Linked DNA regions of Oryctolagus cuniculus. The protein of the gene in region 1 binds, or shares a complex with, the protein of each later gene. Links are inferred from orthologs where the notes say so. Each region holds a gene or a part of one and is shown on either strand. Other genes may lie near its edges. The genes, in order: MEP1A and FETUB.

Region 1 (4,598 bases):
GGCCACAGCAGAGAGCTGGACTGGAAGAGGAGCAACAGGGACTAGAACCGGCACCCATATGGGAAGCCAGCGCCGCAGGTGGAGGATTAACCAAGTGAGCCACGGCGCCGGCCCCCATAATTTATTTTTGAAAGTTTCCTGCTCTTACAAAAAAGAACTGAAATTAATATATTATGTGATAATGTGTGCACATGTGTGATTTTCTTTAGTGCATGTAACCAGAGGTGGAGTCTCTAGCCTATAAACTACCACATTTCAATGTCGGAGCTTTGCTATTTCCTTACATTCTTATTTACACCTGTCACATTGGCTTTCTTCACTTATGCCAATCTGAACTTGAAGTGTCATTTCATTGTTGTTTGAATTTGCATTTTTCTGATTACTTGTAAGACTGAAATTTTCCTACATGTTTATTGGACATTTGGGTTTTCTTTTTTTGAATTTTTCATTCATATTTTTTCCCTCTTTTATATAATTCCTATTTTTCTTGCTAATTTATAGAAATTCCTTATCTATCTTGGATACTTATGTAACTATATACAATATAAATATATTTCCTCATCTTTTCTTTTAATACTGTTGTGTTTTGTCATAAAGGAATATAAATTTTTATATAGGCAAATTTATTATTATTTTTCTTTATGATTCCTATGCATTTCTTTTTCTCATTAAAGCAATCTTTCCAGACCTCAAAGCTTTTTGTTTTCTTTTCAAAGTTTAAATTTTTATACTTACCATTTCCACTCAGCTACCTAGAGTTCTCTCTCTCTCTCTCTCTCTCTCTCTCTCTCTGTGTGTGTGTGAATAGTACAGGGTTAGAATTTACATTATTCTCATATGGAAATGCTAGTTTTCCAACATTATTATTGAAGAAACCAAAATGTCCCTATTGACTTTTTTTGTTTCCTCTCATATAAAAAGTCACACTTACGCACGCATCTGTTTTGATACTCTCCATTCCTTTTTGTAGGCTCATTGAACATTCCTTTTGGCAACATCACACTCTAATTTCCATGAATTTATAAAAATTCTTGATAAGGGATTTCTTTTTATTCATCCTTTTCAGAATTCTTACCTGTTCTTGTAAGTTTATTCTTCCATGTCAATGTCAGAAACAGTTTGTCAGTTTGCCCAAATCCGCTGAAAATCCTGTAAGTATTTTTACAAAAGGATGACATTGAATTTATAGACTAATACCAGAGTTATCCACAAATACTTCATATGCGGGGAGAGAGAGAGAAGGAGAGAGAGAGAGAGAGAGAGAGAGAGAGAGTCTTTTTGGTGTCCTTCAATAATTTTATAACATTTCCCTAAAATTCTAATTCATTTTTATTTTGCTAAATACTTTATCATCATTTTATTGATTATTTCCATTGTGTAGGGGATGTTTTACCTATTATAGGAACAGTTACTGCTATACAGGAATGTTACTGGTTCTCATGTGCTCCTTTCAGTGTTAATTTTTCAATTTTCCCAGTCTCTCAAGCTTGAGCTTTTAGGGTAGACTTGGGATCTGTCCTCAGATGCATTAATGCCATCCTCTGTGACTACACAACACTGCAGTCCATAGGGAAGGGTCAAAGTTACTAATATGACAGTCAAGGCAAAGTCCAAAAGGGTTTTATGATGAGGTGTCTTTGCTAAGATCAGTTCACTTGCAACAATGGTTTGTACTAGAACTGCTTGCATTCTCTCTTTTACCTTGTTTTTTGCCCACACAGCAGCTGTATCGGTAAGTAGAGTTCCACTTTTCTGGATATTTAAAAATTTAATTCTAGTGTGTGTTATCCATTTTCAATGTATTTATTTCCTTTCAGATTAAGCATCTTTCTAAAAGAAATGGTAAGAATAAATTTGCAAATGCATAGTGTTACTGAATTTTCTCTCTTTTATCCCAGCAAGACTAGTAACAATTATTTTGCCTCTTTTAACAGTAAAAGATGGAGATTTAGGTGAACAGAAGGATATTCCAGAAATCAATGTAGGTGAGTTCAATTTTTACATTATTAATGTATGGAAAAAATTTAAAGCTCAGTGGTAGAATTATTAAAACCTTCATAATACTATGTTGTGTTACTTTGGGGGAGAAATATTTATTGGTGCCTCATTAAGATTTACAGTTCCCTAAAAACATATTAATACTATGGAAAGAAAAAGAAGTTTAGGCCACATTTTATAAGAGAAATTGTGAGTCTTCAATTGAACCTAGAGATACATACTGTGTTTTCTGTTCATAACAATTTCATTTTTCCAGTTTCTGTTTTAAAAAGACAGAAAACTGTATGAGAATTCTGCTTGCTCCAGAAAATATAGGGAGTAAACCCATGGTTATTCTTAATGGGGTAAAATAAAAAAACCCATTGTCTCCACTGGGCCATCATGTTCACTGCCAGCTGTTTGTTGGGACTTAAAAAGAGTGTAAGGGTGTTTCATTTAAATATCTTTCTCACAAATCTATTTCTTGAGGAAATCCAATGCTCTCATCCATTACTGAGAGGAGAGAGAAGCCTCCGCATATCAGGTGCCATTGTTAGGGTAGGTGCAAGCTGAAATACTCAGGATCATGAACACCTTACTACTTGCAAAAGCTTTTCCTATCCAGCTCATTTATTTGCCCAGCCTTGTAGTGGGGTGGGCACTGGTTTCATTTTTGCAGGAGGGGACAGCAGGCTCCTGTGGCGAGGGTGACTCGCTGAGATCAGGCAGCAGTGAGTCTCCTGACTCACACTTCAACAACCCAGTGTTACTTGAAGACTAAAACTAGGAAATCCTTACCTAAGGGTTAAATGCTTCTGGTCTTGAGTCATTTACAGAGAAGGCAGCTAGTTTATATTTAATGGAAATAGCTTGAGAATGTCAACTTGGGAAGAGCAAAAGAGATTTGGTAAGGTAAATGGGTGTATGGGTGAATGGGTCCCAAGACTTCAGAGTCATCCACTCAAAGAGCTCTCTTTAGAGTCAGTCAAGGTACACACAGTTCAGAGGAACTGTCCCATTATAAAACATGACTGGAATTGGAGTTTTCCTAACCTCATCCTCAGTTATCTAGTAAACATTCGTTCATTTAACTCTGAGTCATTTCTTAGGCTTTGCCCCCCAACCTCTGAACTTGGACCTCAGTGAAGACAAATATTTCCTACATATGAAACCATTTCAGCCAAGCCACCAGGACTGATTGGGGCAATGGTAGCCAGTTCTAAGATCTGGGAAAATTGGCCGGGAAAAATCACAAAAAGAAAGCTGTCGCCTTTTGCTCCTTCCTCTCCATGCCTCACAGGCTGATCTAACCTTTCTTATCTCTGTCTCAAGACCTGATCCTCTCCTCTTTTTCCTTTCAGTAAATGCAACTCCCTTCCTCTAGATTCTAGGCTCAGACCCCAGAGCTGCCCCTGACTCTTAGCCTTTCCTTACATCTCACACACAAGCTGCTAGCTAATGCTACTAGATCTATCTTCCAACTACATCACAGTTGAAATTTTCAGCACTTTCATTGCTAATGCAAGCCACCTCATGGGCTCATCTGTGGCCTCATAACTTCTCTTTCCTTTCACCTCCATCCCCGACAGACTGTTCTACCCAGCGTGGACAGAGCTCTCCTTAGGCAAGCATGCAGATACCATCACTTTTCTCACCCAACCTTCTAACAACTCCTCCTCCAAAACCATCTGTAGGCCTAAGAGCCTTGATTTCCAAAATGTGGTCCGTAGGCCAACGTTGCCTGCTTCACTAATGAGCTTTGCTGGAAATGCGGGCTTTGGGGTCCCACTCCAGACTTACAGGATCAGCAGCTCCACTTTGACAGATCCCAGGTGATTCCTGTGGACGTTATTCTATGAGGACATCAGACCCTGGCTGCCTTTTTCACCTCATTTATTTCTACTCTCCCCCTTTCTTACTTGAGCTCCCCAGCTACCCTGACTGCATAGCTGTTCTCCTGTGAACATGTGGTTTTCAGTATGTGGGCCACCAACCAGCAGCATGAGCATCCCAGGAAACTTGTTAGAAATGAGCATTCTTAGGCCCTGCCCTAGACAAACTGAATCCAAAATCCTAGGGCTGGGGCTCAGTAGTGTTTGATAAGCTCTCCAGGATTCTGGTGCTGAAGTTTGAGGACCACTGCTTTAAGGCATCAGGGCTGTGCTGCCTCCAGACCTTTCTATCTACTGTCACCTCTCTCCAACAGTCTTCTTTATTCCCCCTTCTATGATGGGTCTGCATTAGCAGGAAACTGGAGTCAGGAACCAGAGCCAGGTATTGAATTCATGCACTCTCATTCAGAGTCTTAGCATCTAGGCCAAACAGTTGTGTCTTATGTTCCTTTTTCTACTGCACATTTCACCATCTGCCATACTCTATATTTATTTGTGTTTTTACATATCTCCCCATTCCCCAAATCAAGCATGGCAATGCCTAAGAGCTTTGTTTTATTCACCGCTATATTCCCAGCGTCAAGACAAAAAAAATGCCCAAAAAACATTATGTACTTAATTAGCACGTGCTCCATGAAAAACTTGGGTAGTGAACAGATTGAGGCTTGTTTTCCTTGGATATGTACTTGTTTGGAAAATGCTCTCTTCCCTGCATGAACCCATCCATGC
Region 2 (4,238 bases), on another chromosome or scaffold:
GCAGAGGTTGCAAAGTGCAATATGTGTTCAGAGAACTGGCATCCAGTTGAATGGAGTATAGAGGTGATGATGCCAAGGCAGTAACGGCAGAGACAGTAGGAAGCGAGCCAAGGGATCAGTCGTACAGGTCTGGCCACTTATGGAAGACTGAACACTTAGGATTTAATGCAGGACACAATGGAGAGCTATTGGAGATGATTTAGGAAGATTAACTGAAAGATGAGAGGTGTATGTTGACATTTAGTGGGAAGGCAAGTCCTAGAAAGATTAAGCAACTGGTATTGGAATGAAGATGAAATAAACATGGTAGAAACCCTAGCCACGCTTGACAAAACTCTGGTTAAATGCTCTTTTCCCTCTTTTATTAAAATTAACATTTCTTACCTGGGCGAAGAGTACAGTTATAAGCAATTGAATAGAGGATTCTTCTTGGCTTATTAATGTAAAACAGTGCTTTGCACTGTCCATAAACCTGTAACCAAGAAATACATTATGTGACACTATAGAATGAACTACTCCTGCAATGAAACTTGTATACTTTTAAGTAATGAGAAACTTAAGATGACGTTAAGGGATTTGGAGTGGGAGGAGCTGCAGTGGATCACCACCCAGCTGTTTGACCTCTTCTTGGGCACACACATTTCCAAGCCTCCCCCATGATTAAGTGTGAGTATAAAAAGGAACATCAAAAAAGTTTGTGAAGAAACAGAACTAACAATTAAGTTTATTTTGGTGCAAAAATTTTTGAAATCTATGCATTCAAGGGGTCTTCAAAATGTTTATGGAAAACATATATTATGAAAATACTGTGCATGGATTTAAAAATTCTCTTTCCATAATGATGCAGAGCACTGTGGAAGCCATGAGTTACAGGTGGCAGTGTCTTGGACATGAACTTCTCATGAGTGGGAAGCAAACTTCTACCACGTGATGTGAGTGCATCCCTGTCCATGCGCGTGCTCCAGCAGTTAGCGTCATCTTAACAAAATCCACAGCAGGGAAATCGACTATTTGCTTTTCAAAATCAGTCCATGCAGTTTAACAAATTTGGTTACATGATTTGAAAAGTTTTCTTTCAAAGACGTCATTATCAGGTACTCAGGTTACACAGTTCATGTCAATTAATGTTAATCCCAGGATAATCGAGAATCAAACAAAACTATTCTTTTTCTATTCATCTTTAAAAGGATCAATTCTGAGGCCATTGAGATTCTATGATTGAGGAAATCCTTCCAAGGTACCCCTAAGGGCTCCTACACTGTAAGCCATCCCTTTCTCTAGCCACAGCCCTTGCATTAGCATTCATTAAGACAAAACAAAGCAAATATAAAAGAAGTATAAAAAGCCCTCCTTCCATAATTTCTGCACTCCTTAACTCCACATCCAGAATCTTTGCCTCTGGTTTTTTGCTTCCAATGTAAACAAATGGCTGAGAGCTACAGGAGGATCTTGAGGTAGAAAGCAATTCTGGGAAAAGAATGAAATCCTATGCAGACCCTGAGGGCCAGTGGCGAGGACTCAAGCGACTGGGTTCCTGCCAGTAGTGGGAGACCTCGTGGGAGACCTGGATTGAGTTCCTGGCTCCCAGACCTGGCATCCAGCCTGGGGCCACTGGGAGCATTTGGGGAATAAATTACTAGATGACAGCTCTGTCTCTTTGCTCTAAAATTAAATTAAATTAAATTAAACCCTGACATAGCAAAATGGATAGAATTGGAGGGGGTTATGTTAAGTGAAAGAAGTTAGACACAGAAAGACAAATTATTGCATTTCTCTCCCATACGTGGGAGTTTAAAAAGTTACTCTGACCTTAGAATGGTGATTACTACAGGCTGGAAAGGGTGAGAGGAGGGGATAACTGCCCGATCTGCTCTATTTACACTACCTGCATGTGTGGAAATAGTGTACCATACCCTGTAACAGTGCACGGTATTGCATGCTAATGAATAACAAAACTAGTATATAAAAAGAAAAATTAAAACAAAACCAATTTGGGGACACCTTTTCAATTCTGGGCAGCATGACCCTAGTGGAACTTTCTAGAAACCCCTCTGATGGGTTAGACTTGATTCTGTCTCCAGCATGAAAATAAGCATGTGGGCACCCTCTCTTCAGGCTACAAAGAGGGCCAGTTAAAGCATGCAGACAGCAAGCCACCTGCACTTGGAGAAAGAGGGCAGACAGCAAACCACCTGCACCTGGAGAAAGAGGGCACCTAGTCTCTTTCCTGGAGCCCCGAGAATGAGTACTTACTGAGGTGTGCAAGGTCCTCACCGCACAGTCTTGCCACGCCTTCTTGCTGAGCACATGACAACCAGTCTGCAACACGTCCAACACGAGATAGAACACAGACCCTAGGTGATCCTGTGGGAAGGGGTAGAGAAACACATCACATCCCACAGGGAGCTGGAACTCAAAGACTGGACAAGTCTCTGCTTTTTGAGACAGCCAAAGGATATGGTGTTTGTGGCGACACCTTGAAAGTTATGGCCCCTAGACAAATGTCAGAGTAGGATCTCTGCACTGGCTCTTGATCACAAGAGAATAGTAGCATGCCTGGTGGAGAATAGAATGTTGTCAGGTTCTCGGCCAAGTTCCCAATCTTGAAAGTACCTGCCAACCTGTCTGAGGGTTCCCAGCCACCGGCCAGCCTCTGCAGCTGTCCAAATGACTGCCTGAGTGCGGACAGCATCACTTGCCTGTGTGTGCTCCCAGACGCGGCTCACTCGGTTGAGGCTCAGCACGTAGCCGTCCTTTTGGTCTCTGTTGATGTCCTGCAGGGCGAAGCCTGAGACCGACAGCACATCTGAGTCATTGCAGTTCCGGGAGAGCAGAGGTGTGTCCTTGAGGAACGGCTGGGGTACAGACACAACCCCGCAGCATGCGGCCAGGGCGCAGAGCCCCAGGATTCGGAGCAGACCCATTCCTAGGGGGAAACAAGGGTGTGGAGCTGCAGAGATGGACTGGCTTGTGGAGCGCCTCAAGGTCAGGCTTGAGTGGTTCTGGCTGCCAGGTTGTCCCATTTTATTACCTTGAATTCTAAACAAGGATCTCCTGGAGTCAGTACTTTGGATGGGATCTGTCGATATGTGTAACCATCAACCCCTGAGTAATCTCATATTCGGGTGGACATGTAAACAAAATAAAGTTTCCCAACAGTTTTCAGTAAATCCTAACAAATATTTAGTCAAGGCCCTTAGGAGATCATGATGGATTCTGACTTGTGTCCAGTGTACACCAGGAACAAAATGGTGGTGGTGGGAATAATCACCTTCTCCCCAAGTGCCTCTGACTGCTCTCCTTGGCCACACTGCTGAACTTAGGCAGGAGCACGGGGCCAAGGCTTACAGCAGTGCTCGGTGAACTCACACCTCCCCTAGATCAGGAAGGAGGCTGAACCCCTCAGTCACCTCCCAGAAGCACCAGTGGGCTTCCCAATACATCTCGGGCATGTGGCCGAGAGAGTGTCCCATTCAGCCTCACTTCATTCTTTTGAAGCAAGGATTTCATGGAATGGAAAAGCAGTTAATGGGACATCAAGAGTTCTCACATCATACTCCAAGTCTATTCTCCCTTCTACGGAGCTGTAGGGAAGCAAAGTCATGAAGAGACTGACACCTCTTCAGACAAGAGGAAGATACTAAGGCTAGTGCCATGGGAAAGTCACCACCTACAACACCAACATCCCATCTAGGTGCTGGTTCATGTCCTGGCTGCTCCACTTCCAATCCAGCTCGCTACTAATGTACTTGGGCCCCTGTACCCATGTGGGAGACCTGAATGAAGCTCCTGGCTCCTGGCTGCTAGCTTTGGCCTGGCCCAGCTCTGGCTGTTGTGGCCATTTGGAGAGTGACCCAGCAGAAGGAAGACCTCTCTCTCCATATTTTCCTCTCTCTCTCTGTGTGTGTGTAACTCTCTCTCTCTTTCTCTCTAACTCTGCTTTTCAAATAAATACAAAATAAATGTTTTTTAATAAAGGAAGACAATGATGGGCAGGTGCATGCCAGAGACACATTGGTTGGGACTCTGGTTTTCCTTTTTCCTCTTCTGTTTGGGGTTCAGGAAATTTCTACCATTGGGACTGTATGAAAGAAATGGCCTTTTAAAAGCTTTCTATTTAAAAACACACACCGTCGTTTATCAGGAGAGAAGAGGCTGGGTGTGAAGACAGCACCGAAACAGGCTTGTCAGCGAAGGCGTTCCACGGAACCCTGGACCTGGAGTGAGAGCAGCTCCAG

The links.
Region 2: the proteins of MEP1A (region 1) and FETUB are in contact, whole or in part, in a cryo-EM structure (PDB 7UAI), measured with the Homo sapiens proteins. The link is inferred for Oryctolagus cuniculus from reciprocal best matches to the Homo sapiens genes MEP1A and FETUB. Residues at the interface, in NP_005579.2 of Homo sapiens: Asp126, Gly127, Cys128, Trp129, Ser130, Glu131, Val132, Gln145, Gly146, Cys147, Tyr149, Ile152, His155, Glu156, His159, Tyr164, His165, Gln167, Ser168, Leu184, Gly186, Tyr187, His189, Asn190, Asp192, Tyr194, Tyr214, Gln215, Phe217, Ser218; in NP_001362516.1 of Homo sapiens: Phe109, Phe110, Lys144, Lys145, Tyr148, Met149, Thr150, Cys151, Pro152, Asp153, Cys154, Pro155, Ser156, Ser157, Ile158, Ser196, Ser197, Gln198, Trp199, Val200, Val201, Gly202, Tyr205, Phe206, Thr242, His245, Trp246, Phe249, Val250, Ser251.

Annotation. Positions count from the first base shown.
Region 1 is NC_091436.1:123,327,275-123,331,872, reverse strand, and holds the start of MEP1A (meprin A subunit alpha), read left to right. Parts: upstream 1-1,663; coding exon 1,664-1,732; intron 1,733-1,817; coding exon 1,818-1,842; intron 1,843-1,934; coding exon 1,935-1,985; intron 1,986-4,598.
Region 2 is NC_091435.1:96,348,391-96,352,628, reverse strand, and holds the start of FETUB (fetuin-B), read right to left. Parts: upstream 3,025-4,238; 5' UTR 3,024-3,024; coding exon 2,700-3,023; intron 2,365-2,699; coding exon 2,254-2,364; intron 473-2,253; coding exon 385-472; intron 1-384. UniProt on the Homo sapiens protein: Protease inhibitor required for egg fertilization.